Linked DNA regions of Schizosaccharomyces pombe. The protein of the gene in region 3 interacts with the protein of the main gene of each other region in a biochemical or structural test. Each region holds a gene or a part of one and is shown on either strand. Other genes may lie near its edges.

Region 1 (10,539 bases), 620 kb from region 3:
GCTTTACCGGAGGTATCCCATTACTATTTATTTGTTATAAAATCTTTCAATGTTCTGGTTTTTCTTCCTTCTTTACTCGGTAGTTAACAACAATACATTAATCACCGAGATGAGAGCTATGGGTAATCTAATCCAAAACTTTTAGTTCAACTTGTTACGATTGCAGTAGTCCAATGGTTTTTAAACTTAAAAAACTAATGAAAACAATACACAATGTACTGTATCTCTAATCTTCTGATTCCTCAAAATAATAGTTTACTAACCGGCTTCAAATATTTGTTCCTTAATTGGTGTACAGAGGATCATTTTCTGAGCGCTTGATTGATATTTTTTACTATCGGATTGATTATAAACCAGGATCGCGAAAACGTACCGATTTATAAATCGTTGATTATTAAAACATCTTTTTTAATATTGCACATTAAACAAAATTACAAGTGCAAAGCAATAATTAGTTTTCAAGCAGCTCCACATTTTGAGTTGGTAAATCATTTTAAAAAAAAATCATCAATAGTTCATATTTCATGAATACATTTTTCTAAACACAAATATAAATTCAGCACATTTTTATTTCAGATAGTGATGTGTAACGTGTAAACTTTTGGCTCGTTAGTAGGGATCTAGGAAAGTAAGGTTTTCCATCTTCATCAAATATTGGCGTACTGCAAAAAAACCCAATAATTCGTCTTCTATCAGGTTATAAAAGATTTTGGCTTCAAAGCATCCTTTTAGGTAAAAACCTTTTGTAAAAGCATCCAACGCCTTGAAGAACAACATCTCACAATGTCGTTGTATGAGCATGCTGCACTTCCTTTAGCCAGTAGCCCTTCAATCCTTGGACCTATTTCTGGTGGACGAAATCGGGGGAATATTCAATTACAGTCTATTCCGATTGAATTTCAAGCTGTTGTTTTTGCAGGATTTGGCAATAGGTAAAACAAACAAGTGTAGTACTGACTACTTAACGATTTGGATAATGATGACTTCGCACATATTATCTTCATCAACACTTAAAAAAGATAAAATAACAATAAGAAAATACTAACCATGTTTTAGTTTATATCCTTTGACTGGAAGCGATGCACTTCCCAAGGCTTTATTACCTATCGGCAATAAACCGATGCTTCACTACCCATTATATTGGCTTGAAGCTGCTGGATTTACTTCTGCTATTCTTATTTGCATGGAAGAAGCGGAAGCCCATATCAATGCTTGGTTACGATCTGGCTACGAGGGACATATGCGTATTCACGTGGAAGCACCGACTATTTTAGATGATTCTAAAAGCTCTGCCGATGCTCTTCGTGCTGTATCCCATCTTATAAAGGTATGATTTATTTTTATGTATAAGTAGATATGCATGTGTTCTTAGACTTTTTGATCTTTTCTCTCTCATTCTGCAATTTAATTACTCGTCTTAAAGTCACAAAAAATGCTAACCGATACCCACCAGAATGACTTTGTGTGTCTCAGTTGTGATAGTATAGTTGGTCTCCCTCCCATATACGGTTTGGATAAGTTTCGCCTTGATAACCCTTCAGCACTGGCTGTATATAGTCCAGTGTTAAAATATGAGCATATTACAAGTCAATCTAAAGAGATTGATGCAAAACAACTGATTGGAATTGAAGAGAAGACGAGCAGACTATTGTATGCCAAAAGTTCCGCAGACGTGGGCAGTGATTTTACATTTAGAATGTCTTTGTTGTGGAAACACCCAAGGGTTACGTTAAATACAAACCTTTCGGATGCCCATATATTTGTATTTAAACACTGGGTTATTGATTTGATCCGGGAGAAAGAATCTATTTCTAGCATTCGTGGAGATCTCATCCCGTATCTTGTTAAATGTCAATATCAGAAATCCTTTACTGTACGAGAGAACATTCAAAGATGTAAGTGCTTTTTTTAATTAACTATTTTCTAACAATTAAAGTTTTGTCATCTCCTAACAATATTGATAATTATGATGGGGGATTATCCTCACAGGAAATTAAAATTAATGCTTTAATTGCCAAAGATGGGATTATTTGTTCTAGGGCTAATAATTTACCTAACTATTTCGAACTTAATAAATGCGTATGTTTTCGAAAGCTGAGCTTCATCTCGCTTTTTAGCAGTTTCATCCAATATCTCTAACAGCAAACTAGATCGCCAAACTTACTCCAGAACAACGCCTTGTAGATGTCACCGTGTCCGAAAGAGCACTGGTCGGTGCCGATTGTATGGTGAATGAAGGTACCACCATTAAGGATAACAGCAACATTAAAAAGAGCATTATCGGTAAAAATTGTGTAATTGGAAAAGGGGTAGTGGTCAGCAACTCTATTTTGATGGACAACATTGTTGTTGAAGACGGAGTACGTTTAGAATCTTGCATAGTCGCCTCAGGTGCTCAAATAGGCGCTAAGTCAAAACTTCGTGAATGCGAAATTGGCGTTGATCATCGCGTTGAAGCTGGCCGTATCGCTCGGGGTGAGCGGCTGGTTGATATGGAAAAAATTGAGACGGACATGGACTAATACTGTGTATCAAACCGTTGTCAGCCAACCTTTTTTTTGAAATAGATATAATAAAAATTTCGTGCACTTACTCTACAAAGTGTGTCTAAACTAATCAAGGTAAAGGTGATATTAGTCAGGAATTTTTAGATTAAAAATATATACTCATAGATCAATATTAGCTAAAAGCGAAGGGGAATAAATTACAGATGAAAACGCATGTACATATATATGCAAAAAAGTTATACATATATACAAGGTTATACACATATACATCTAAAAAAGTTCATATCGCTATGGGTTAGTAATAACTCGAAAATATTTAAAACAAATAAAATAACCAAAAACTTTAGCACTCAGCGATCTTGGTGATAATAAAAGAATCATTTATTGATCATAAGCAAATATTTCATCAATTGCAAAGCAGAACGGTTATTTGTTTTGAAAATTAAATTGCCTTACCTAACGTTCATAAAAAACAGGACGTTCTTTAACTCCATTATTATAATATTTAAAACTTAAAACAGTTAGCAAGGTATTCGTATTAACAAAAGCAGTTGATGTAATGGAAATCAATCAGAAGATTATTTGTCGCATACTGATGGAGCCCATATGGGAATCAGGCAAGATCCCGAGCAATACCATCGCTCAATCGCAAATTATAGTCATCATACAAAAATATCCAAATAACATATTAATTTTACTTACCTAAAACTGGGTGTTATTAGAAACAGCTACATTACATATCTCACACTGGTAAGTGAAAACGCCAAGTTGTTCCATGAGCAAAAAAGTTTTTATAGAGGAAAATGAAGTGAAGTAAAAAAACGTATTTATGCAACAAAAAAAATAAAATTTTAAAAATAATAAATAAAAAACTAAATTCGTGTATTAAATGATGAAGCATTTGAGAGTTACCTTTCAGCCTTCATTTGCTGCTGTTGTTGCTGCTGTCTCATTTGGAGTTGTTGAAAATGAAGATTTCGTGCAACCGTCATTACTGTTGCCAAATCAGTACCAGCGGCTATTGCTTGACGATTCAGAATTTCAGTAATTTGTTCCCGTGTAGCACCTCTAGCTTTTAATTGAGAGGCACGCTGTTGAAACAAAATTGCAAGTTGTCGTATTTTTATCAAATCCACGGATTCTCGTTTTAACATAGGTTCATTTGCAGGTACAGGACCCGAAGGTAAAAAGTTTCCTAAAGCTGTTAGAAAAATAAATACAAAATTAAAATAAAATTGAATTGAACTCAAAAAGTACTGAAATAAGCCTTTAATACACTTACCAGTCGCATTGGGGGGCGATTCAGAAGATGCCGCATTAGCTGGGAATTTCTGCATAGGTTTCGGAGGGGGAATTTGAATACTACTAGGTGGTAGACGTTGGATTTTGGGTGTAGTTTTTCTTTGAACTGGAGCAGACTGAACCAAATGTGCGGGTGGTTGCTGAGCTTTCGGTGATTGCTGCTGCTGCGCTTTTTGTTGCTGTTGCATTTGCATTTGCCTTTGTTGTAGAATAGCTCGTTTACGCCGCACATTCTCAATAAATTGTAGTCTTTGAAAGGTAGGTTGAAAATCGCGTTTTCTTTGGTCATCCATTAGTAACAAAAGGTTCTCTTTTTCAAGTCTTTCTGCTTCTTCATCAGCAAGTTGGGCTGATCCTTGAGGTTTCTTTCTGGTGCATGGTGGTGCAGAGTCGGCCAACTGGTTCATAAATTGAATCATTTCCGCTTTAGACTTCGCAGGAGTTAAGAAAAGTGGAGCTTCTGACGCTAGTAGAATGTTGGATTCCAAAGTCAAAACAGCTTCATCCGAAAGTGAGTTAGCAAAGCTTTCTGAAAGTAAACATAAATCTTGCCAAAGTGTTTCGGGAGTAGGACGAAGAACTGTATGATACACTGGAGGTGAATTAGTATTGGGTTTGGTATCTTCAGGTTGATTATTAATTGGGTTGGTGTTATTTTGCTGCTGTTGATTAGTAGAGCCAGGCTGAGGTTGCACAGTCTGATCAGCAGAAGGACTTTGCCGATGATCTATTATACGAACCGTTAAGCAACCATCATAGAATTTTACATCGGAATTCCGAAATACTTCAAGACAATCAGGTGGTATAAGCTCCATCCTTATATATTGCAAAATTGATTTTACCGGCCCATTATAGGTGAAGGCGCCATCTTGTTGCTCAAACCGAAAATGAAATTTATGAATATGAAGAATTAAACTCGGCTCTTCTTTCGAAAATTTATGTTCAATATCATGCAATTTTCTGGGAACTTGAGTATTATGTCAGTTAGAGTCGATAAAATCAAATACGCAAAAAAACCAAAGAAGCAAAACTTCCTCAACACTACTTACCATTAAAATTCGAAACGTTTTCATAAATTTTTGATAAAAATGCATCATCTGAGGATTCAATTCCTTGTTTATTCTGAAAATCGTCCAAACTCAATTCCTTCCCATGATAGCGATACGTATAGTCGCCCAAACCATTATTTCTTTCCATCTCTTAGTTCAACGAACTATACCAGTAATTGTAAAACAATATTCCCCCTATGTTTACAATTAAAATTATAAGCTGGTTAAATTCTTCAAATCCTACTAGGTTAGATAGATAGAAGCGTTTGCTCACATAACGAAATGTAATGATGCGTTATTAATGGTATCGAAGTTCAAGATTTCGTTAATAGTTTTGCAGTTTACGCGCTTCAAAGCCCTAATCCAAAATAGCCTCTAGCTTGAGCAGTTCTGGCATTATCGTTTTCCTCCACCGCAGCAAGTTCTTGTTGGCATGATTCATTCTGCGTTTACTTTTGACTCAAATTAATATCTAAATATTTGAAATTGACAAAGTTTTCATTGATTTTGTTTAAAGCTGTAATTTCTGATACTCTCAAAAGTATTCTTGTTTTGTGTTACTTTTCTACAAATTAGGCATGGACACTATTGTCTTAGATCAGCGGGGAGAAGTGTTCAGCTTTTTTCGATCGCTAGATATGCTGTGTTATGCAATTATAGCTCAACAATATTTTCAAGAGTAAGCAAAATTTCTGGATTCTATAGTAGAAATCACTAATCTAATTCTTGTCAGCCCTACAGTTCTCTTGCTGTTACTCAAGGTTTTTGTTCAATTGGTAAGTTGTTCCAGTATTTAGTTTATTTTTCATTATACAAAAGCCAGAGATGCTATGTTCATGATTTTGCTTTTTTCTAGTCATGTATTAACATAAATTGCTAGAGCTACCTTACCCCCAAACCTTTCTCTCAGTTAAACGCTCTACCGCTTTTTTATCCGCTTCTGCTTAATTTTCTAATATCTTTAATGGTGCGTATGTTCTTTAATTTGCCTACTGCAGGAGAAAGCTTGGATGGATATTTGTATGGTGGCTCTATTATCAATTTCATTGGAGAAAAAAATGAATCTTCACGTATAGATTTTATAACGTCCGATCTTGTACTTTTCTGTCTACAAATATTCATGGCGCTTATTCTAATTGCTTCAAACAAACGCCCAACTCAAGCATCTCATATTCAAGCTTCCCAGTCGGGCCTTTCCAATGTTGACGGAGACGAGGAACCATCTGATCTCATAACAGAGGATTCCCGTGATACACAGCAAGGGCAAAGGCAAGAAGACTTGCAACGGCAATTAGAGAATGAACGATCAAGGTTGATTGCTCGATTTTCTCATTCATTATACTCCTTTCAACACGGATTATCGTTTGGTTCTCCACAAAACAGAAACACTCCCCTCCAGAGGCAATCAGCAGATTCTTATTCTACCCCTGTTTGCATTGAGGTTGACTCGGAGGATTGGAAAGACTTGGTATGGAAGTCTCAGTATGCTACTGAAAATGCGAATACAAATTCTATTAACAATTCGCCTTTATCTTCCAACACCACAGGTGTACCGAACTCTGTTTTAACTAATCCCATTTGATTTGTTCCCTTTCTTGTTGTCGTTGTGTTGAAATGTCTTGAAGATGCTCTTTCATTGGCTTTGCTCGCTCTTTTTCCAATTGCCTACCGAGTTTTCCATTTCCCTTTTTCTTCTCAATATTGCGCTTCTAAAAAAAATAGTTAGTTACTTCAATGATTCTCAATAATGTAAAATCTGGGTTTCATTTATTTTTGTCAGATTCATTACCTCAGCTGCAACTCGGGCTGCTTCTGTGGGGGATAAATGCTCTTTATTTGATGTATTACCGGTTTCCGCTAGTTTTCTGCCCGTACGCGGAGGTGAGCTAGCTTTCGTAATGGCTTTTGCTGGTTTTTGAACGTTCACTGCAGGCTTTGGTTTTACAGTTGGTTTTTCATTCACCACTTTTTTTTCCTTTGACTTGGAACTACATATTGATAGTACTTGTCCCATAATTGATTATTTGGCTTTGGCTGATGACTTTGCATGTCACTCACTTCATTTTACGTACGGAAATTCTCGGTAAACAATTTTAAAGAATTCTATGCCGAATTTTAGCAAAGCTTTTTGATTACATTGTTTGTACATGATTAGTTAATGAATAGCCATTTCTTATTTAAACCATTTTTCACATAGTGCTGTTGGTACTGTGTACTTTGTTGGAACCGGATTTAAAACCATTGTTGTACTCATCAATTGTATAATCAGTAAATGCATTCAAGTTCCTACAAAACATTTTATTTATATTTAAACAAAAAAATATCTAATTGTTTTCTTCAAACTACTATGCTAAAACTTTACAAATGAGATGTGTCAAATTACAAACTATTTATAAATAAAATTCGCAAACGTTGAAACTCTTCGACTTTCATTAACATCATAAGAATCTATGCACCGGTTCCAAAATTTTTACCCTTCTATACGTGTATCTCCCTATTCATCGTCTTCTAAATCATCTGCTTCAAACCGATCAGGATCTTTTGGTTCCTGATCTTCGTACCATTGGGTAGCATCGTCAATATAACTAAGTACTCTGCTTACGCTTTCCTCGTTTCCGCTCTCAAGAGGAAGGAAATTGACCATATTAAAGTCATCAATCTAGTCATTAGCAGAAGCTCGAGGAATTATGATTCTGTGACTTACCAGTTGAACAATGCACCGATTAAGTTCGTGAAACTTTGGGTTTGTTGTTTCGTTAATTTCACCTGTGAGCAAGAGTGGATCTGTATTGAGAAACCTTTTTAATTCCGCTTTTGTAATGTTATTGTTGTCTTTGAGTAAATCCATTTTGCTCAATAAGTTAATATGCGGGACTTCCATCATAACCATTGCGCTCATTGCGCTTAAAACACCCGCAAAGAACTTTGTACGGTCAACGAGAAATTGGCTTTCTAACAGGTAGACAGCACAAGGACGAAAGTTTAGGGTTACTTGAAGATGGCGAATTAATGCTGGTAAAATTGGTACGTGAGTATACAATTCAATTTGTCCAGGCATATCGAAAATTAAATAGTCTTCGTCGTAATCGCCAATTTCTTCATTTAACCAATCTAAGTTTTCCATCAAAAATTCGAAACAATAAATTAACCCACCATTAGGGCCGTAGTCCAGCTCTTCCATAACATCATCAATGGATATTAAGTCTCTAATATCAACAGTTGGTTCCCATTCGAAGTTTTCTGCAGCAGGATCTAAATTAACTAAATGGCAAGAACGTCCAACGCTTTTCATATAAGACATTAATGCTCCACAAAACGTACTTTTACCACTGCTGGCAACACCACAAACAAAAGCTGCCACCTTAACCATTTTTCTAAAAAGACTAACGTCTTTTGAAACGTCGTGTTCTTTTATCCTATGCCTTCTTACCTGTGCCCGTATGCACCCTTATAACTCGCCATGCGATGCCCTAAGTATTTTACTGACTTTTAACAACAAATACTTTAACTGTGAATAACACGCTCTGTTTAAATCTTTAAGTCTTGCAGAATTTACGTTAAACGTCACTAAAAACATTCATTTTTTTGAATACCCCCTAATATAAGTACGATGTCAATATAGCTTTTTCTACTTCTTGTATAAAATTAGTTTAATTTCTCTTGATACAGCTTAACTCACTCCATATTTCAACTCAGTCATAAGTTGTTTAGCAACGGCTATAGCATCGCTTGTAAATTAACTCACTTTGAAGTCTGTTATTCTCAAGACCTGTTTACAACAATATAGTAAATGTATTCTAAACTGACCACAGTCTAACGTATCTCTATTATCAATTAGATATTACGTAGTTGATAATACAGTGAAACAACGAGTCCCCCACATATAGACTCGACCACCACACCCGTTTGTAGTGAACAGTGAGTGTAACTCTACACGCTGGCTTAAACCACAACCCCAATTTTAAGGGGAGTTATTCATAAATGTGAAGATGTCTGCACCTCCATGGCAAACTTCAGAGTACGATGAAACTGAGGGATTCACGTCTAATCAGGAAGGGCCGTCAGCAGCTCCTTCCAAGACTGTGGCCTCTGACTGGCATGAAGTGAAGACAGAAGATTCTCGAGTTTATTACTACAACTCAGTAACGCGCAAAAGTGTTTGGGAAAAACCAGAGGAGTTAATGAATGACTTTGAAAAAAAGCTTTCGAAACTAGCTTGGAAAGAATATGCCACCGCTGATGGCAAAAAGTATTGGTATAATGTCAATACCCGTGAATCAGTGTGGGATATTCCTGATGAATATAAAGCTGCCCTTGTTGATGAACCGGAACAGCAAAAAAAGGCTTTGTCGTCTAAAATCAAAAGCAATGACAACAAGCCAGCTGTTCAAAGCATTCAACGGCATGGTCCGGATGTTGCTGCTCCTTCAAGTCAACCAGCTAAAGATCAAAGCCAACAAATTTCACAAGGCAGTCATAAACGAACTATAAACTTTGTTCAACAAAAGGATAAGCGCCAAAAACGTTCTAATGATTATCAGCACGAAAACTATGATACCTATGAAGCCGCAGAGCGCGCTTTCTTTAAATTTTTAGACTCTCATAATGTCAACCCAAGCTGGACTTGGGAGCAGACTGTCCGAGAGCTTTGTGATGCTAAGGGCTATTATGTCATGAAGGATCCTTGGCATCGGAAATGTGCTTTCGATGCGTACATCTTAAACTATTTGACCGATCAAAGTGATGCAGAAAAGAACCGAGTAACTAAGATTAGGAAGGAGTTTATTGAGATGCTAAAAAGTAGTGATAAAATTCATTCTTATACTTTGTGGCGTACTGTGAAGAATGAATTTTCTTCTCATCCTGCTTTTAACGCTACTTCTTCTGAAACTGAACAACAACAACTATTTTTTGAATATAAGCAAAAGCTTTTAGAGGATGAAAAGCAGTTGGAAAAGGATCGCAGAAAGGAAGCATTGGATGATTTTTGTTCGCTTTTGCGAAACATGAATTTCGAGCCTTACACCCGCTGGAGCGTTGCGCAAGCAAAATTTGATCAAGATCCAAGGTATACAAGGAATTCAAATATGAAATATCTTTCTAAATTAGATGCTCTTGTAGCATTTGAAGATCATGTTAAGCATTTGGAACGCGAATATATTCTTGACAAACAAAAGCAGAAGAAAGAAAAGCATCGTATAGAAAGGAAAAATCGTGATGCCTTTCGTGCGCTATTACAAGACTTACGCGTGCAAAAGAAGATTACATTACGCACGAAGTGGAAAGAATTATATCCCATAATCAAGGATGATCCAAGATATCTTAACTTACTAGGGCAATCTGGCTCTACACCATTAGATTTATTTTGGGATACGATCGTTGATTTGGAGAATATGTATCGGGAAAAGCGTAATTTGGTTTTGGACTGTCTTGAAGTATTGCAAATATCTGTGGATGACACATCTAATATTCCTGAAATTATAGCAAGGTTATCAGAAAAGCTTAAAGATCGAGAGGAAAGTGAGGCAGTAACTGAAGACCTTATTGAAGAAGTTGTTAATCGATTACGTGATAAAGCGATCCACAAAAAAGCTGAGGAAAAGCGTGCTGATGAACGACGCATTCGAAGGAAAATTGATAATCTCAGAAGTGCCATTAAATACCTTAAACCTCCAATTTCT
Region 2 (10,009 bases), 3.8 Mb from region 3:
TGTTATAATGTTCGCATCATGGAAGAGTACTAGGTAGTTATAAAAAAAAAAAAAAAAAAAAAAAACTTATCAATCTAATTCGTATTATTGAAACACAGATGAATTAAGAAAAAAAAAAACTAATGCTAATTCACGCTCATAATTGGCAAACATTTGGTATTTACGATCTCATGTATTTTCTTAACTACCTATTGCTGTACCATAGTTGGTTTTCTTCATCGGGTAATGTTAATCTCATCAGTAAACAAATACTGTTATTATACGTTATTTGCTTTAAGAAGTGAAATGAGAAAAATGGGTGAACTAGGTATGAATAGTGAATCCCCTATTGTTACAGGAGGATATGGATTTCAATAAAAGGTAAGACCTTTGACAAAGCCGACTAACCTTGGGGTGATCTGATTGAGATTAAGTACAATCATCCTGATAAAGCAATAATCGCATCACGAACAACGAACAATTCCACCTTTAGGGGTGGATAATTTGGTTTTGTGAGACTTGCATTGGCATAGGTTTTGATGCTTTTTGTGCCTTTCTCATAAATCTGGAGTATAGTTTTCTTACCGAGCGAAGAAACATGATGCTTTTGATCCAGTGACAGTTTCCCAGAGATCGACAATAGGCCACGGATCTTCGCTATGGTTATCAAGCTACTAGGGTACTAGGGTAGGTGTAGCGTTCAAAGCTAACAGTTGTATTCAAGCTTAAGTTTATATTTTGTTAATATAAAAGAGTGACAAGTTTGCATATGAATGAAGATTTTCGCTAGTGCAGAGTGAATGAACGATTTGAAATAAAAAAAAAATGCAGGAAGCATCTTCGTATGCGTAAGCCATGTAAAGATCAACCAAATCGCTGTAACAATGGAGAGACATGTGGCTCCTGAACATGACAGATATTCGAAGCCACGTGGTTATTAACCAACTTGATCAACCTAAATGAGAATGCAAACTATATTTAGGTACATGCAAAGAATTTTTTTTATAAATTGTCTGAAAGAAAAAGAAAAAAAACAGAAAAAAACGAAAAGCAAGGAATGCTATTTATGAAACACATGAGGGCATAATCTAAGTATCAAAAAATTAACGAAACATCTGTGTTTTTTTTTTATTTTTAAAAGAACATTAGAGGTTAAACAAGTTAATCGTTCTTATACTGTTTTTGCTTGGCTCGTGATTTTCTCAATTCTTTGGATTTTTGTACTAATGCGTATCAAGCAAGCTACTTTACTAACGTCTAAATAAAAAGCTCTTAGTATTGTTGTTGCCTTTGGGCTTATCAAATTTGCCGCCTTATCACTCGCTAATGTCGAGGTTCCTACTTGAAAGTTGTTCCAACATTTTTTCTAAGTCCTTTATTCACCCAAATTTGCATTTGTAAATTGGGTGAGCTTGTCGCTTTTGCTAGTTTTGTTTTCAAGTCACTTCCTATAAACCTATTGATTGTGCAAGAGTTGCTAGCAAATTGCTAGACGACCATTGATTTTCACCTTCTTTTGTTTTTTTAGGGCTTTTTCTTTTGTTATTACGAACAGTTTGGCCGTCCGGTTATTCTGAAATAATTTATTGTATTCATATATATATAATTATAGAGTTAGTAACGCTACCTTTTTTAAAAAAAAGACTACAAAGAGTTTCTTGGCCTTTACGAAAAAGGTGCTTAGTTTCCTTGTTAAATTGGAGCTTAAATTTTGTATAAATCGGCTTCCAATTTCATGTTCTGTGCTTGCGTTTTTTCTTTGCGCGCTTTTCTCAAGCAGCGTAGCGTTTTCAAATCGGGCTTTCTTTACTTTTGATTTGTTTAGTTCCTATTATCTTGTTATTCTTTTTTTTTCTATCTATTGTTTCCCTTGCAGTTATGAACCCGTATGTTTCTTATCCCGAAATTCATATGAAACGGAATAGAACGGGTAGTATTAATTCAAATCCGCTATATATTCCCAACCCAAACGTCGAGCCTACGCCCAAGCCCACAAAAAGAAGAACGAAAACTGGATGTTTAACATGTCGCCGTCGCAGGATCAAGTGCGACGAAACCAAACCTTTTTGTTTGAACTGCACAAAGACAAATAGGGAATGTGAAGGTTATCCAAATTCAGCTGCTCAAATGCAAGCCATGGGGAGTGTATCGCCTCCTGAGCTAAGCGTTCATTCTGCTCAACAGCCATTGATACCTACTTCAATTGCTTCAAGTAGCGCTCAAACCGGAGACACTTTTTCCGGCTCTTCACAATCCAATTTTAATACAAATGATCTTAATCAGATGACCTCCTCCTCCAATTTATCCACCGTTACCCCAATCAAACAGGATCATCAAAAACCTATGAATTTACAAGGATTTCCAAGTGCTTATCAACAGCATCAATACCTTCAATCCAATCATAACGTTCCTACAAATAATTCTTCTAGCGCTACTTCGTCTACAAAACCCTCTGTACAATCGGTGGGTCAGGCCTCTTACCCTTTTCTTTCATCAGTTTCCAATTTCCCTTCAAACTTTAATTCCGAACTGTTTCCGTTTTATTTTCACGATGTCGTACCTTCTATTTGTGCATTTGAATTTGATAATAACATAGCCTTGCATTTTTGGTCAGTCACTGTTCCCCAGTTTGCTCAATCGATGCCTTGTATTGCTAATTCTTTAATGGCTTTTGCGTCTATTAAGAAGCTCGACGTTTTTGGTGCTTACAGTCATTTGACCAGAGCTCTTCGCTGTCCAATGCCTGGTCCCAATTCTTTTGAATACCTGTTGGTTTCTGCATTTTTGACTCTCACTCAGCTCAATCTCCCAGCCTATGATCTCAATTTTTGTAATAATTTTATTAGAAAGTTAAGTTGGTCTTCGTCTACCAAATCAAATTATGTCAGCTTATTGATTGCTATGGTCGTTCGTGAACTAGTTTTTGCAATTCTTCCTCGTGGGTGTATCTGGGGGTTTAATGGAAAGCCTTTATCGGAAGTTTCTGTTTCTCGAAGTCATGCACCTGTTTCGGATTCTTTGTTTACTATTGGATTGGACATTCTCTCTCAACCAACCTTGTCTGATGATTTGCATCGAGAACGAATGGTTGCTTGGCGAGATGAATATCATGTGCACTTGTATTCAGCATCAAGAAGTCCTCTTACTAAAGTTATAGATTGTGTAGGACATGCCGTTACCAAAAACAATAATGACGTTCTTTCTGGCTTACAGCAATTAATGCAAGAAGAATGCACAGATATTGCAGTATTACGCACTTCCTATTTATGCGTATTATCTCTACAAAATGTTTTTGCATCAAACTCTAAAGAATTTAAACTTCGGGCACAAATCGAATCTCATTTCGGAAGATTGATGCTAGAACATTTTATGGATTGCAATGTCTTAAATCGACCAGTACTTTAATTTTAAAATCATTTTGATGCTTTTCAATAAATATTGATATAGAACTGTATAATAGCTAGACAAAATCACGCATCAAACATATAATCTCTCGTTAATAAGATAAACACTTCATTTGTAAGATTCGCATAGTGTAAAAAGAGCCGAAATTTACGAATTACGGTACGACAGTCATACAAATGGTTTAGTCTTTGTTCTAAACATACTATATATTACCTTAGGAAGAAGACTATTGAGCGGTGGCTGTATGGAGATGTGGTTCAGAAGGGTACACAGGTGCGGGACTTCCCATTCTAGTTGCGAGGGAAGACTGTTCTTTTAAGCTGCTCAATTGCTTAAAGCGGAATTTCTCGTAATGATAGTATGAGGTCGTTTCAATTAAATCTTGAAGATGAGTTCGCATCAAAAAGTTACGAAGAAAAACAAACTCGCAGTGGTTTTCATCATCCACATTGACAACCCCCCATCTGTTTTGACGACCACGAATAGGCCTTCCATCTACGATAATGGCTTTTTCGGAACCGACCACGGCAAAAGGAATAAGATTTCGGACGGCAGCATTTAGATTAATTTCCTCCTCATCGGCGTCATCAGAATCATAAGGATACAAATTGATGTCGTGTTTAACAAATTCTTCACGGATTTGCTGCTTAAATGCTGCTCTTTCTTCAAGAGTCAATGAATCAGACTTAGCGATAACAGGCACAACATTTACGACTTCTGTTAAGCGTTTGAGGACAGCAATATCAATAGGGCGCAAAGAATGTCCAGTTGGGCGAATAAAGAATAAACAACAATGTACTCTTGTGTCTTGTAGACGTTTCTCGCGATGTGAATTTAATTCACGACGAAGATAGGAAGAGTGTTGGTCCCTAATGTACTTAATTATAGGCTCCCAGCTATTATAGTTAGAAATTGCTGTGCAGGAATAGAAATTTCCATTTCCACTGATCAAACTTACCATTTATCGTTATTAATTTGATCTCCATATCCAGGAGTGTCGATTAAATTTAATTGTAATTGAACACGGTTCTCGCGAACGACTATGTGGTTAGCAATGTAACCATAATAAATATAAGGATTGCTGACTCATTGAAGCCAGCTCAATGAGTTCAATCAAAGATGAAAACCTAACTATAAAAAAATCAACATACCTTGGCTTGTAACATGGATTTCAGTTGTCTGGCGATAAGGAGCTTGGTAATCCAGACGACCCTTACTGTCCATCAAGTGCGCAGAGAATAAAGTATTAATCAAAGTGCTTTTTCCGCTACCTGACGGTCCTATTTGAAACTGTTAACATCATTATAATTGAAAATCTGTAATAAAAATAATACGTACCAACCACCATTACATTAAATTGAAAACCACGACGAATTAACTTGCGGTTAATTTGCGAAGTGATAGAATCGAACCCTATAAACATTAGTTTTGACTCTTTATCAACATTCTTTTGTTTTCATACCCACATAATTATTTAGGGTAACTGCAGAAGGAACTTCCATTGCAAGTTGCGAATTGAATGAATTTGGAATTTGTTGGTTTTGGCCAAGTCAACATTGTAACGTGAAGCAAGTCAAAACAAACAAAAAGGTCTCGGCAATATTTACGATTTTTTTTTTAAATAATCTAACAGAGAGAAAACAAAATTTAACAATATATTTTATTAATAGAAAAGTGTTTCGATGTTGTATAAGGGCCCGAAAATATATTAAATTAGCAATGTAACCTAAAACTCGAATACGATAAACAAGTAGATTACCAGCAACTGAATGCACTATTGAAGATTAAACTGTTTCTTATAATTACAATCATGGTATATTTTTGCACATTGTATTTCAACAAACCAATATGCTGTATCAAGAAAACCAAAACAACTTTTATAATTAAGTAGATCCTTTTATTTTAATGCTACGAGGTATAACTAGTGAGAGTGAAGAAGAATGCTCCATTTTTTATAAACAAATACATGCAACCGCTTCACAGAGATCAAAGTCCTTAAAAATTTTCAACCAGATTCACAAATAATTAGCGCTAAATTTAAGCGATTATTACCAATCAGTAGCTTAAGAAGCATAAGCGTTTCGTACACCGGCAAGCTTAGACAAGAAAGCAGAACTTTGTTCATCTATTTGAGTAGACTTCATAATTTGAGAGCTAATCAATAGAGAGTCAAGAAGTCGAGGCTCCGCAGGGAGCTTGAAGATTCGCTTCCAATCGTCTAAAGGTAAAGGTTGTAAATTTTCGGCAGCACGATTTGCATTTTCGGCCTTACGCTTAGCAATCCACTGTTGAATTTTAGCTTGCTCTCTTGCGAGTTGACGTTGATGAAATCCAAGATTTCCTTGCTCATAATGAAACTCATCAGTAGACTCCAATAATAACTCAATATTCTTTCTATATCTGGTACCCAAACTAACCTCAAAGTTACTGAACGTTTCAGTCAAGGGTAAGTTGCTTTCACAATCTTCAAGAGCAGCTTCGGCGGTTAGGGTAGAAGCTGGAGTAGGAGGCTCACTAAGAGAGTGGAGCAAACAGGTAGCCAAATGAGAGTTGTGAATAACAATAGGAAGTTCACGGATAACATTGGAAGGAGTCAAGTTGTGGCTATTGAGGGAGGAGGCGGTCCAAGTTTTTTCCTCATGGGCAGCCATAAACTCTGGAGTTAACTGATAAGCACGCATGTACAAAGTTCCATTAGAAGATTGAGACAAATCATAAAGAAAAGCGATACTGTTGGGGTTTGCCTTTTGATAAGCATATTGCGTTTCTACAAAAAAGGGGCTACTTAAGAATGAACTAACATAGGCTCCCAAATACCAACCAACGTGACCAGTAACAGCACCAATGTACTGAAGACGATTAAGCATCGCCTCAGTATGAGCTTGGCGTGCTTTACCGGAAACAGACTTGTTAACAGCAGACTCTTCATTTTCAAGAACAGACGGAGACTCGAAGCTGCTACTGACTTGTAAAACACCATCAATGTCAATACCAACAAGCTGACCTGAACGAAAGTTAGTTAAAAATATTATTTCAAGAGAGAAACTGTGGTTGATAAGAAATTTCACTAAGTAGAGCATTACTGAGCTGACAAATGCATAGCTGCATCTTTGATGCAGAAAAATTGCAAGTTTTATCATTTCGAAAAATAGGGAAAACTTATTCTCCAATGACTACACTTACCAATTGTTCCCATATTAGGAAAAGAATCACGGCAGTGCTTGATGATATTCATTACAAGTAAAGATTCTAATTCCACCCGCTCAATAGGGGGAGACTCCAATTCTGGACTACTGAATTAGTTATTTATATATCTTAGTCATTCTTACACATTCAATGAAGTTGTATCAGACATGTTTTTTAAGTCTGCCAAGTAGTTGGTTGAAGTGCAAATTGCTGTACGAACTTCTAAAGGAGTTAGTGTTCACCAGTTTAATGACAAGTAACAACAAGTAGCAACTTTTTAAAGCCATGGCTGTCGGCGATTACAAGTTATAGAATAGAGGAGCCTACCAGTTTTATTAAACCTTTTCTAACTAGTTAAAAAATTTGTAAATTTTTTTTTTGTTTTCTCGGCCTTAAGCTCTATTTTCATGACTTCTTTTACTAATTTACCGAAATATGATTTTCATGCTTATTGTAATTTAAGAGCAGCTTCACCGCCTTGCAAAGTCTTTTTAATATAGTGTAATTGACACTGCATTATACTTGAAAGTTCAACATTATTCGTTGATTGGAAATGAATGTGACTGCTTTTCCGTTATATTTACTATATATACGGGTCATTATCCTCAACAAAACACTATCGACGATACTCCATAGGATCATTTCTATAGTATACGTCCGGCTTGGGTTTCCTAACCTAGCCACAGAACTCAACACGGATGATGATAGGAGGCACCGTTGCCCTCAGAGTGAGGACTTTTAATTCTTTGAAGGCATGCTTTTCGATTAGGTTTTTTACCTAATTGTTTTGCTGTCTTTCTATGCGATGATCTCTTACATGATATGTTTCCTTTTGGTCGTATTATGTAGGGCAGCTGGTGTTTTCTGACGTGTTTAATTTCATCTATTATATTACAACTGTGGTGTCGTTTGATGACATAGATGTAATTTCTAGATGAAGTTGTGTCATGTTTTAGCGTAGATTTTAGTGAATAAATGAAACGATTTCAAATTCCGTTAGATTGTTTGATTTATGTTTCTTATTAAAGGAGTCAATTGTATGGTATTTGGAGTTAGATGGATAGCTTACTTGGCGGCGTTTTTTATTTAATATTGTCTGCTGTACATTCGTTAGTAGTAAAGTATTACACGAACGTTTCCACTCAATTGGAAAGTCAAGTCCATGCTTTGTGGGAGCAACATTGATCATGTATGTTTATGTATTGCTAGTTTGTTTATAGAATAACGCAGATTACGGAATCACGCTATTTAACGTCAAAACGTCAAGAAAGGTGTCAATTATGCTCGTTGTCATGCCAACGTCATTGTTTGCGTTTTTTCTTTGATGATTACTTTGTTTATTGTTTTCAGTTGAAGATTGTAAAAATATCATTAGCTGAACGTTGCTTTAAAGGTGTCTTACGTGAATATATTAAGGTTACTTTATAACGGCGTTGTATATTCATTTGTTACTTATTTACCGATCCTATGTTGATGCCGTACTTGTTCCTTGTGTAGGAAAGCTGATACCTATGTACGTACGTATTGCTGTTAGGCGGTTCTTTTATCCCACACCTCTTCCTAAGAATAGCTACAAACATTACCAACTTCATATTAATTCATCAATACGATCTTGAAACTTAGAAGTACTTCTAAATTGTCTTTTCTTGTCGATAGGGCTCGTACATTTGAACTGTTCTTGCTGGATCGTTTCAGATCAAAGCTGATCATATTACAAAGAACTCACGCCTTTACTAGCTGACAAGGTAGGATAACGTCGGAATCCATAGAGAATTTGCAACTTATTAAACCTTAGAAGCTTCTTACCCTCTTAATACTATGGACAACGCTAATTGCGTTGGCGGTTGCAAATTTGAAACTCGCAGCTTTCAATATAGAAGGCGTATTCCTTATAGCCTCGGTGCGGATCCACTTCCGCCAGTACATCCTCTATCATTAAAGAATTTAGTTGATATTGATACTGATCTAATTTCTTCTCAACTGTACGAGTTGTATGACTCTATTATACTGAACGACTCGGGTTTAGAACGTCGATATGCATTTGTGCAGAAACTCGAACAAATATTGAAAAAAGAATTCCCCTATAAAAATATCAAAACCTCCCTTTTTGGGTCAACCCAATCTCTTCTTGCCAGCAATGCATCAGACATTGATTTGTGTATCATTACTGATCCGCCTCAATGTGCTCCAACGACCTGCGAGGTGTCAGCTGCCTTTGCTAGGAACGGACTTAAAAAGGTCGTTTGCATTTCAACAGCTAAAGTGCCAATTGTAAAGGTTTGGGACTCAGAATTACAACTATCATGCGATTGCAATATCAATAAAACTATATCTACCTTAAACACGCGTTTGATGCGCTCTTACGTTCTTTGTGATCCCCGAGTTCGGCCCTTGATTGTTATGATTAAATATTGGGCAAAAAGACGATGCTTGAATGACGCTGCCGAGGGCGGTACACTCACTTCTTACACCATAAGCTGTATGGTTATAAACTTTTTACAAAAGCGCGATCCACCGATTCTTCCCAGCTTGCAAATGCTTCCTCATTTACAAGATTCGTCTACTATGACTGACGGGCTGGATGTGTCGTTTTTCGACGATCCAGATCTTGTTCATGGTTTTGGTGACAAAAACGAGGAGTCTCTTGGTATCCTGTTCGTAGAGTTTTTTCGATTTTTTGGTTATTTATTTGATTACGAGCATTTTGTTTTATCCATTAGACACGGTACCTTTCTTTCGAAACGAGCAAAAGGATGGCAATTTCAGCTTAACAATTTTCTGTGTGTTGAAGAGCCTTTCCATACATCTCGAAATCTAGCTAATACTGCAGATGAGATTACCATGAAAGGAATACAATTGGAATTTCGACGTGTTTTCCGTCTTTTAGCGTATAATTGCAATGTCGACGATGCTTGTTCGCAATTTACTTTTCCCTCTCTAACTGACACAAGCTTTATGGACGATTATGTAAATGAACTACAATTGGAAATAGTTCCTGGTTTCTCCCATGGTCGTGACTCTTCGGACACCAGCTGTACAGAATCCCCTCCTGAGCCATCACATTTTGCTTGGGCCTTTGATCCTTATAATGCAACCGCTTCTCCCTATTATAATCAGAATATTAATTCATCCATTGACTACTCTTCTATATACTCAAACGACGTCCCTGCAATCCCTCCCAATGTCCCTTATACCTTTGTTGACCCTTACACCTATGCATGCTATATTAATAATAATAGCTATCTTCCACCCTCATACATGGACTTTTATACATGGTATAATTCTCCCTACCCCAAATCTTCACACCATTTTGATGAGAGGCATGGCGGGGATCGTCACGAAAAAAATTTGTCTAATTCTCGGCGATATTCTCGCAATAAGTTTCACAAAAAGAAGCAATCTTCGGGTCCATTCCAGTACTATCCTGATGCCTTCTCTT
Region 3 (10,810 bases):
TCTGGTAATTCAGATTGTAAGGAGGTCAATAAATTTGTCAGCAAAGAATTAGTAATCAGATGATTATCAACCTTGGTCAGTAAACCTATCGTTGTATATAAAAATCCTCTAAGTAAATCACTCTGAATTATATTACTCGATAAGATGCTAAGAATTTTTTCCAATATCATCGCAGCTTTAGGTTTAAGAAAATTTGGATCAGCTTTGTCAACTACCCAACGAGTAAACTGTATTAACCGGGGTTGCATACTAGGAGGTGCTTCAAGAATGAATTCAATACAATTTATAGCTTTGTCAGTATTCGCAGCAATTTTACTTTTAAGTAAATGCTGAATTGCCTTGTTCCTTAAGCTAATGGAAACAGAAAAGTTTGCGTGCAAAGCTTCGATTCGAAACTTATCAAGCGCTATGTCTAATAGAACGTTCACGTGGGACAAATTCTCTAGATCAGGTAATCCACTATCACGCGTAAATTCATCTGCCAGTCGGGCAACTTCAGAATGAGAATCAGCAGAGGCAAAAAAGTAAGCCAACCACTTCCAATTTGATGGCCAGCTAGATAAATGAATCCACCGAAGCAGACTCAAGCGGTAATCTACTGTTTTTTGGGAAAATTGCAGGTCACTAAAAATCCTTTGATCTTTCTGAATCAAATAGAATGAAGAAAGAGATAAAATGACATCGTTAGAGCATGTAATAGCCGAAGTTGGCTTTGAAAAACGAAGTAAACGAATTGTCAATGTCAATAATACTAATGGGTATTCATTGACATGATTTAGACAAATCTGGAGAAGGGCCAAATTTTCAGAACAAGGTATCCTTTTTTCGCCTATAGATATGAAAGCAAGGAGAAATCTTTTTCGCAAAGGTTGATTTGCTTCAACGTACTGGCTTACTAAGGCTTCAAGAGGTAGTATGGCTTGCGCGTTATTGTTGAGCCTAGTCATAATGTGGTTTGCAATTGAAATTGTTTTGTTTCTCACACTTTCATGAGGCGAATCGAGTTTTAGTAAAATCGGACATAAAAAAACTGACACAAGCGATTGAAAGGAGTCCTCGCTTTCCGCTAGAGCGAGCTTCAGCTCTGCATTGTTTAATAATCTCAATTCATTTTCAGCCATTATTGTAGAGTTAATTATAATCACTAATAAAAAAACACTCTACAATAAAATACCAAACAAAGATGAATAAAGAGATATATATCAGAAAGCAAGTAATTAAAAAAAAGTCCCAAATTGACTTTACACTTAATTGATAGAACAAGGCATAAATAAAATCTACAATTTTGGATGTGTGTGTTGTATTTCGTAGGTTAAAAGGCTGACTAACAGCATGCGACTTAAGGAAGTGAATCAGTGATGAGGTTATTGAGGTCAGCAGAAGGAGGAGGTGCGGAAAATTTAGGAATATCTTTATGAGCTTTTTTACTTTTTGATACGATTAAAGTTTCTTCATCTACATCTGAAGAAGAATCCGAGGAATCATCAACGTCGGATGTATTTTTTTGACCGTGCTGTAATAAGGCATTCGTGATCGTAGGAAACGCCAATCCAATTCGAGAAATTCGATTTAAAAAAGAAGGGATAGGGCTGCCCGTAAGTTCAATTGCTGCAGCATTCGTGAAATGATTGCAATTTCTCTCTAATAAAGAATATGATAACCCCGTAAATTCTTGACTCAAACGAATCAAAATTCTATCCACGTCGGGTTTAGGGAGGGTACAATTAGGTAAAGCAATAGAACAGCGCCATCTACACCCTTCTAAAGGCGGTCTTGGCATGGTAGCAAACACACCGGTGGAGCCAGGAATTTCGTGTGCTCCGAACGCATATTCTTTACCTTCTAAAACCAATCCTGTATGGTAAATACCAAGTCCAAGAGTCCATGCTAGTTTGTTTACCGGACTGTCTGGCATTAGATCATACACATTAATGTATACTTTCATATTCGAATACGTTCGGATGGCGAAGAACAACTTGCAAATTTCCTTGGTCCTCCTTAAGCAGGTTGAATTTTAAGATTCGATACCTGTACAATTAAGTATTTTTAATAAAAAAAAGTAGAGTCGAATTAAGGATAAAAATTTAAAATACGGGAGCTGTTTATGGTGGTGATTTTGTTTACATCGGTACGACTATGACAATGTTAAAATAATCAAAACATAGTACGTTTCTTCAATATTGAATACCTTTAGCTAAATTCACTACGATAGCAATCGCAATGAAATGGGTTTAATTGCATACAACGTTCTAAAAAGTTAATGAAATATAATCTCGCTGTTCGAATACGCATATTATTAGTAATGTAACAGAATTGCAAGCTTAAACAGAGGAATCATTGAATGAAACTAAGTCACAACGCTTTAATACAACTAGATAACGAAACTAGCTTTAAAGAGGAAACAGAAGTACTAACCCAAGAATTTTATATACAAATCCATGTTTGGAACCAGGATATTTAATAGCACAAAATGAATTTGCTAGTATCATTTACCCAGGCCAGAAGCAGTCTTGGTTGCTTGTTCTATACCACGTGCGATTGTGCTTCGAATTTTTCCATCTTCCAATGCCAACAAACCACTAATTGTACATCCGGCAGGAGTTGAAACATCATTACGAATCATAGCAGGATGTTGACCTTGTAAAACCATACGACCTGTACCAACCATAGTTTGGGCAGCCAATTCCTGAGCCTGAGGGAACGGAATACCCATCATTACACCACCATCTGTCATAGCCTCAATCATAGTAGCAACAAAAGCAGGTCCACTTCCACATACAGCGGTAGCAGCATCAATAAGCTTTTCGGGAAGTTTCATTGAACGTCCAATGCCATTGAATACCCATTCAGCAAACTTTATGTCTTCTTCAGTTGCGTTGGGTCCCGGGCAAATTACGCTCATACTTTCACGGATTCGACTAGCAGTATTGGGCATAATGCGAATCACCCTAGTACTTTCATCAAGCATACTTTGCAATGAAGAGATGGTCTTGCCAGCCAAAATTGACAAAATTAATTTTCCTTTGAGCGCTTCTTTCATCTTTGGGGAATTCAAAACATCCTCTGCGGCCTGAGGCTTACAACTCAACAACAAAACGTTACTAATCGCAGCCATCTCGGCATTCTCTTTGGCCCCCATTACAACTTTAACACGATCTCCGAAAAGCTTTTGAACATCCTCTTTTTCTTTAGGAAATTTGACACAAGCATAGAACTTATTCGGAATGATAATTTCGTCAGAAACATCGTTTCCATTTTCAGCAATGGAATCAAAGATTCCAGTCAAAAGTGCTTTTCCCATTGTACCACAACCAAGAACACAAAACCCCGACATTTTTTAAAGTTATGCTTAAAAATGTTTAACTATTTTTGTAGTCTTCTTTTAAAGCGAAAATAAATTCGACTAAAGCATATGCTAAGGGATCGTTAATTCCAAAATCAAACTCATACTGTAAATTACCGTTTTACTCGCTGATGTGCATAATGTAAGATACTGAAGTATGATGTTACAAGTTTGTAGGACTAGTCCATGTTTGAATAATGCTACACGTTAAAGTCAATATATCTTCTATATAATTAGTAATATTAAGTATATCGCAAATAAATTTTAAAGCAGCTACACAGTTTTTAACGAAATCTTGTAGAGACGTTGTAGATAAACAAAAGCTTTTTCGAACTTATAGATGTGAACCATCAGGACGCTGTTGTCCACTGTATTTTCCATATCCACTAACCACCACGTTCTTTTGAAAGTTTATTGCGTTGAAGTAAAATACTTTTGTTTGCTTTTTTAAAATGTCAAATTTTCAATATTGTATAGAATGCAATAATATGCTGTACGGATTAGTTTCTCAAAAAGATGACACTGAAAATTGTTTGAAAACACTAACATGAAATAAATAGGTACCCTAGAGAGGATAAAGTGGATCGTGTTCTGAGGCTAGCTTGTCGTAATTGTGATTACTCAGAGGTAAGCTTGTTTTTTTCTCCTACTGGGTTTATTCACTTCAAGAAAAAAATTCGAAGTTCTTTTCGATTACTTTTTTCCTCATCATTTGGAAGTTTTAAATATCTCATCAGCTAATTTGTATAGATCGCTGCTACTAGTAAAGTTTATCGCCATGAGTTACAAAGCTCCAATGTGTAAGTTAGATTTCATCCTTCGAATAATCACTAAATTTGTAGAGAAAACACGACGGTCAGTCACGACGCTTCAACGGACCCTACTTTACCTAGATCAGACAAAGAATGCCCGCGTTGTCATCAACATGAAGCAGTTTTTTATCAGACTCATTCTCGTCGGGGTGATACTATGATGGTGTGTTTCGCATTGTTTCATTGAGAAAACAATTTTAATATTTAGGTTTAAAAACAATTTTACTGACTTAATTAGACTCTGATTTATGTTTGCGTACATTGTGGATTTGCTTTTGAAGAACAGTAATATGCGACAATTCGGTCTAACAAGGGATTGTAAAACTAGCTGCGTCCACCAATGGCTCTTAGACTTCGGTTTAAATGATCCGCTTGATGTAACCACTCTCTCGCTTCTGTGCTGGAAAACTGGATTTTCGAGTGATACCAGCCACCTTTGCCGAAAATGGATTTACCAGCCTCTCAATCATATGCTCGCCTCCTTCCTTTATATTAAGCAACGCGCCTACCAAAACACTTGAATTTCTTTATTTCACATTCGGTGTACCTTCTGGAATATACTGAAACTGTTTCAGTTATTTGTATACAATAATCCATACGGAATAGCCTTGTAATCCGAATACCAATTAAATAAAAACCCTTAATTCTTTGTGCCTTTATTTTTTTTTATATTCTAATTTCAGCAGAGCTGTTAAATTCCAAGGCTTTCCATAATGTTGATGACTGCTTCTCAACAGGATCAGCATGCTAAAATGTATTTAGCTGACATCCATAGAGCATTGAGAATTCCTTCTCCCATCCCAAGTACTGATTACGAATGTTCTGACTATGCCTCTACAATCGCATCGATATCTCGAGAAAGTACAATGAGAAATTTTAATCGCAGTAACATCTCGTCTACGGCCCCTTCTTTTGCTGAATCTGAGGATGCTGAAGATGGCGATAGTTTCCCTTATGATCAAACGTTATCAAATTCTTCCAGTTTTGATGATCATCAGTCTCTTCTTCCTTTTTCTACAGAAGTTCGTAGGACCCCAACTTACTCTGTCATGAATGAAACGGATAGTAGTAGTACAAGTGTTGAAGACGTAAACAAAGAGAACATACTGTCATTGAACGATTCATGTTTGATCAAATTATCTGATGATGAGGCTTCAAATAAAAGCAGTCGTAGCTCGACTCCACGCAACTCGATAAAGAGTAATTCATCTAACCAGGGCCATGGCGACATACCAATTCCTAAAAAAAATCCTGCTCGTTCCGTTTGTAATTCAAAGCTTTTTAACGAGGACACATTGCCAGCTGAATTTGAAGAAGTTTCAATTTCACCACCTGTCAAACTTGAGTTACCTACTCACTCTCATAATTCATCTGACACTAGTTTTACGAACAGTATAGTTAGCAGTGTTAGTGACATGGTTGGTCTTGGCGAAGGTATAAACAGTATTGCATCTTTTGGTTTCTCTGAAGATTCGTCCTCGTTCCAAGATATAAAGACACCTCCTCGCTTATCATTCGCAGATGAGAACCGAGAGAATTGTAGGACTGATATCTACCGTTCAGATTCTATTCATGAATACGAAGAGCCACTTACGAGCTCCATCACCTCTTTAGATTCCCCTCATGTTCTTGACGAAAATGCTCCGATACCGCTTCTTCCAAAAGTGGTTTCTTTACCAGATCCTCGCTTTACAAATGTTCTTTCAGCCTTTGACGCTTTGACTAGGACATATTTGCTACGACAGAATTCTAAAGTTGTACATGCCACTAGTCAGAAACAAGAAATGCAAACTTCGCGGCGCGTTGTCAATTCTTGTTATATGCCAGAATCGTTATCGCGAAATTTGTCCAGTAGTTTGCAACAAACCGGCGGGAGTGGAAGATTGTTTGTCCGTCTTATGGAAATCAGAAACTTAACTATTCCTTTGGCATCGGGGATGACCACTAGGTTCACTTATACAATCTCTGGTAAGCACATTCAAGTACCATGGAACGCCTTACACTCTACTACTAAAATTGAAAATGAGTATACTTTTGATGAAAGTATTAGTTCTTCAATTGTATGTACGCTCCGTGCGGCTTACGATCCACCTAAGGTTCGCACTCGTTCTACACTTGGAAAAGTATTTTCAACAAATAAGAGAAAGTCTATGACTACCGACCCCGTTTCAGAAGCACTTCATGGATTTGTTTCTGAAGATGGAACTTTCGGCGAAGTTACCATTAACACTGATTCTGTAAGCCGAACCGCACTAGGCCGTTGTCAATCTATGGTTCTACCAATCATGAACAAATGGACTGTTGATCCGGCAGCTAAAGATGTCAAGCCTCTCCCTCGAAAAGTAGGAGAACTCGAAATCCACGTATTTTTCTTACCAGCGCTTCCTGTCTCTCTGAAAGAACTTCCCGCTTCAATCGAGTCTGCCATGTATGACTTAAAGCTTGCTGAATGGGATAGAACTTTATTGTGTGATGGTTATCTATGTCAACAAGGTGGGGATTGCCCTTATTGGCGTCGTCGCTATTTTCAATTAATAGGATCAAAGTTAGTAGCTTTTCAACAATTCTCTAAAGTTCGCAGAGCAACGATTGATTTGTCTGAAGCCACACATATCGTGGATGACAACCATTATAGTGATGAAGAAGAACTAGAAGGGTATCTGTATTTCGAATCGGGTTTCCGTATCATTTTCAGTAATGGGGACTACATCGATTTTTACGCTGAAACCGTCGGCGAAAAAGATGAGTGGATGTCTACACTTCGTCAGCATTTGGGGCAATGTTCAATGGTTCACAAAAATTGGACCAAATCATTTCTTTCGCTGAGTTTTTAAATTGACCATTTGCTTCGACCTCACTTTTTCTATTTAAATCACATTTGGTCTTTATCTTCTCCTTTATCTATATCGTCTTGCATTTTTCATTGGTTTTGTTGTTTCCCTCGCATAATACATAATGTTCATTTTATCTACCATCGAGAAGCTAGATTCGGTTGAAATGAGCTCGTTTTATATAAGCTGTTAAAAATCGGATAGCAATTACTTACTACTCCCCATGTATATTTATACTTCAGTTGCAAAATACTTCATTTTTGAAAGTTTCCCTTGATCCGAAGAAACGTTGTCAAAATAAGTTGTCTCAAAACGTTTATCTTGGCTTTGTAAATAAATCAAATTCCTTAAAATACTCTAGCTTGGCGTTGTCGAGTGAATTTATTAAGTCGTAAGCTTGCCATTTGAGAAACTTCAAAAAATAAAAATTCCACAATAATTTAATTACATTATTCTGTAAATAATTAATACCGTAATTGCTATATAGTTCAAATACCATTTTTAGCTGTTTCGCAATATCTAAAACGTATATGAGATCACTTTTTTTCATTGTCTAGCGTTTTTGTACTTCAGTTAATAACTGTTTGAATTAATAGTTTCGTTCATATTTTGCTGTCTTTTGAAATTTGGTGGTACTTTACGGTGTTACCCCCAACACTTAATTAAATGCTTAGCGGGGGATACATAGCAACTGAAATAAAGCACGCGGCGTCCGTCACCAACGTTTCACATAATTGAGTTTACAAATTTTCTATATTAAGGTGCCATAAAAAGTATGGTCGCTAAGTATTCAAACTTCGTTGAAATTAAATATTTTATAAAGTCTGTAAATGCGATATAATAAGGACTCAGAATGGAATTAACAAGAGAGAAAGTGTAAGGATACTATTTTTTTTCCTATGAAACTTATACAAACTAATACGTTTATTTTACAGTCTTTTGTTAACATTTTTGCGAATGCAATATTCTCATATACTTCCTGACTCAATCGAAAATCGAGTTATATCTACTGAGGCCCCGGAATGGGAATTGGACAAATCATTGCAAGACTTGTTGATTCATGATTATGATTATTCTAAAACTTCGTTTTCTTCAAGTCCCCCGATTGTCGCTAATGACACTGTATCCAATGTCCGAAAGCCGAGTGATACTAAACAAGTAAATGGTGCTGGGGGTCAAGTTAATCATTCTCGAGCTGAAGATTCTGATTATGCTACTTCTGACTTATCCGAATCTTCAGATGTGGGTGATGACGATAACTCGTGTATATTTTCTTTTAGCAAAGTCCCAATGCAGAAGGATGTTGCAAGTATAAAAGAAGAGGAAAGACTGGACCCCAAAATTTCCACATTAAATAATATTGATGCTATCGCAAATCTTAAGCTTACCAACATGGTAGAATCCTCGCAGGCAGTGAATTTAACCTCGTCCAAACAGTCTTCCATAAACCAGCAAAGCAGTGTTTCTACGGATTATGATGATCTACGGTCGATTTCTGAGGAATCATTTCATTTAAGTCAAGGAGAAATTCCTCTTACTTTTCCAATGAATTCTTCCTTAACTGACACTGAAGCTGATGCAGTTGTTGCGGTTGATGCTCTTTTTCCTGGTAAGCAACGCGGAACACACAATACAGTCAATAAAGCAAGATCTGTTTCGAACGCAAAGGCTCCTACATCTGCTCTTCGTGCATTACTTGAACATAAAGAAAACAGTAGCCAGAATGGGCCATTGGCTGAAAATTTTGCTACTTTTTCTGGACATGCAGAATCAAATGCCCTCCGTTTAAACATTTATTTTCCTTCGAGCGAAAGTCCTTCAAAGCCCTTATTTGTAGAACTCCGAAAGAATGTTTTGGTCTCTGAGGCTATCGGTTATATTTTACTTCAATACGTTAACCAGCAACTCGTGCCCCCAATAGAAGATGAGGCTCAAAATCCGAATTATTGGAATTTACGTATTGTTGAAGATGACGGGGAGCTAGATGAAGATTTTCCCGCTTTGGACCGTGTAGGTCCATTATCAAAATTTGGTTTTGACGCATTTGCTTTAGTTAAAGCCACTCCTGCCCAAATAAAGGAAAATCAAGCTGCCTACCCGTTTAAATCGAAGCATCCAACATCAATTCCTGAAGCCAATAACAAAACGCATATTCGGCATACTAGTTCAACTTCAAGTCAATCACAAAAGCAAGCTCAGGATGTCAAAGATACACTTAATACTTCTCATGTCGTACAGGTACGACTTCCCCCATACGGGGATAATGCTCGATTTTGCAATATTGAAATATCAAAAACTACTAGATTGGCTATGGTGTTGAACCAGGTGTGTTGGATGAAGCAATTGGAGCGATTTAAGTATACTCTGCGAGTTGCTGGATCTGATACTGTTTTACCACTTGATAAAACATTTAGTTCACTAGACGGAAATCCAACTCTAGAACTTGTTAAAAAGAAGGTACGCGATAAAAAAGGAAGTACCCAACAATTGCCAACCTCCTCACCACAAAATTCCGTTTATGGATCTATTAAGAAAGATGCACAATCTTCAACATACAATGCAACAGATATTATGTCGAGCAATACCTATCAAGAATTTCTTGTATGGAAACGACAACCTGTTTCATTTATGGGAAGACATGAGCGTCTACTAGCTATTGATGGAGAATACGTTCACATAATGCCGTCTGAATCCAAAAATATATTTGAAACGCCTAAGACGTCCAGTATACATGCTGGATCGATTATTTTATGCAAGCAGTCTAAAAAATCACCATGTAATTTTAAAATGATTGTGTCCAAGAATAGGGAAACTAAGCGGTAAGAAATTTTTTAACGCTAATAAGCTAACGAGTTCAGGTATGATTTTGAAGTTTTGTCCGCCTTGGAAGCTGCCATTATAGTTAGCAGGATACGTGCACTGATGAATACTGTTAAAAAAATAAATTAACATTTATTTATTACAAAAAGATTCTATGAATACATAGGTATAAACACCTTTGTTTTTTGGTATCACATTGCTCTCTCCCCTATGTCATTTTTATTAAACATCTTCAAAATCAGCTTCATCTTCATCGTCTTCATCGTCCTCATTAAATCCATTAATAATAACATTCTTTTTACTTTCTTGCATTTCCGTATCACCATCAGTAATACCATTTGTAGAAACAATAGGTGGTAATGAATTGTTTTCTTCTATCGATTTTGTTCTTTTATTTTGGATATCACTATCTGAATTTAGGTTCTCGGTTTTACGCTTGACCGACCCATAATCAGTACTTTTGTTTTGAAGAGAGGTAGCCGTCGTAACGTCTAAGAAGTCATCATCCTCCTCATCATCTACGTTTTCACTGTCCATAAACTCGCTTTCCTCTTTTTGCTTTGCACGAAGTGTTGCGTAATAAGCATCTAAGGCGCTCTTTTCAGAAGTAATATCTGTTTTAGTGTCTTGAACCTCATTAACAGTTTCAGTTCTAAAACTATGAAGTGCGGCATCTTTAGCTCCAGCACGAGTAATGGAGCCAGAAATTGTTGATGTTGCATGCCATTCGGGAAGAATGTTTTGAGCAGCTTTGACTTGCTTGTCGCAATTCCTTTCACGCTTTTCATCAGTCTCTTTATCAGCAGAGAAATCAACTGTAATAGATGGCGAAGAGGTGGAAAGACGGACGTCTGAATTACTTTTTGACAAGTTTTGTTGCGACAAATTTTGGGTGTCTAACGAAACAGGAACCGCATGTTCTAAAGCAGATTGGAAATTGTTTTGTGGTACGACAATTTCATCCACCCTTTTCAATGCATCGATTATACCATTAACTTGTCCCA

What was found.
Region 1: the proteins of mid2 (region 3) and spt20 form a complex in vitro, tested with the Schizosaccharomyces pombe proteins (one study listed by BioGRID).
Region 2: the proteins of mid2 (region 3) and spn2 form a complex in vitro, tested with the Schizosaccharomyces pombe proteins (one study listed by BioGRID).

The regions. Positions count from the first base shown.
Region 1 is NC_003424.3:5,366,765-5,377,303, forward strand, and holds spt20 (SAGA complex subunit Spt20), read right to left. Parts: upstream 5,081-10,539; 5' UTR 5,007-5,080; coding exon 4,859-5,006; exon of another isoform or gene 4,777-4,858; coding exon 3,790-4,776; exon of another isoform or gene 3,703-3,789; coding exon 3,416-3,702; 3' UTR 3,210-3,415; intron 3,019-3,209; 3' UTR 2,964-3,018; intron 2,923-2,963; exon of another isoform or gene 2,876-2,922; intron 2,796-2,875; 3' UTR 2,636-2,795; downstream 1-2,635. Other genes in the region: translation initiation factor eIF2B gamma subunit tif223, read left to right, coding at 784-932, 1,057-1,327, 1,454-1,895, 1,937-2,079, 2,151-2,522; DSC E3 ubiquitin ligase complex subunit Dsc4, read left to right, coding at 5,437-5,537, 5,592-5,634, 5,739-6,440; protein new13, read right to left, coding at 6,427-6,567, 6,648-6,872; GTPase Fet5, read right to left, coding at 7,353-7,517, 7,563-8,228; U1 snRNP-associated protein Prp40, read left to right, coding at 8,848-10,539.
Region 2 is NC_003424.3:985,127-995,135, reverse strand, and holds spn2 (mitotic and meiotic (sporulation) septin Spn2), read right to left. Parts: upstream 4,932-10,009; 5' UTR 4,887-4,931; coding exon 4,847-4,886; exon of another isoform or gene 4,798-4,846; coding exon 4,723-4,797; exon of another isoform or gene 4,665-4,722; coding exon 4,536-4,664; exon of another isoform or gene 4,425-4,535; coding exon 4,343-4,424; exon of another isoform or gene 4,281-4,342; coding exon 3,611-4,280; 3' UTR 3,385-3,610; downstream 1-3,384. Other genes in the region: DNA-binding transcription factor Moc3, read left to right, coding at 1,858-3,384; tif308 (translation initiation factor eIF3h (p40)), read right to left, coding at 5,448-6,388, 6,568-6,674, 6,714-6,739; cytoplasmic poly(A) polymerase Cid13, read left to right, coding at 8,389-10,009. UniProt on the Schizosaccharomyces pombe protein: Plays a role in the cell cycle. Involved in a late stage of septum formation leading to the separation of the daughter cells. Involved in the correct orientation of forespore membrane extension during sporulation. Binds phosphatidylinositol 4-phosphate.
Region 3 is NC_003424.3:4,745,318-4,756,127, reverse strand, and holds mid2 (septin ring organizing protein), read left to right. Parts: upstream 1-4,674; 5' UTR 4,675-4,868; coding exon 4,869-6,989; 3' UTR 6,990-7,267; downstream 7,268-10,810. Other genes in the region: proteasome assembly chaperone Ecm29, read right to left, coding at 1-1,121; sdu1 (PPPDE peptidase family protein), read right to left, coding at 1,340-1,945; pro3 (delta-1-pyrroline-5-carboxylate reductase), read right to left, coding at 2,486-3,334; DNA-directed RNA polymerase II complex TFIIS subunit Rpb9, read left to right, coding at 3,796-3,836, 3,904-3,970, 4,094-4,143, 4,186-4,318, 4,394-4,444; MAP kinase-interacting protein Sin1, read left to right, coding at 7,840-7,862, 7,922-9,805, 9,845-9,935; transcription factor TFIIE subunit Tfa1, read right to left, coding at 10,029-10,810. UniProt on the Schizosaccharomyces pombe protein: Responsible for the proper stability and function of septins during cytokinesis.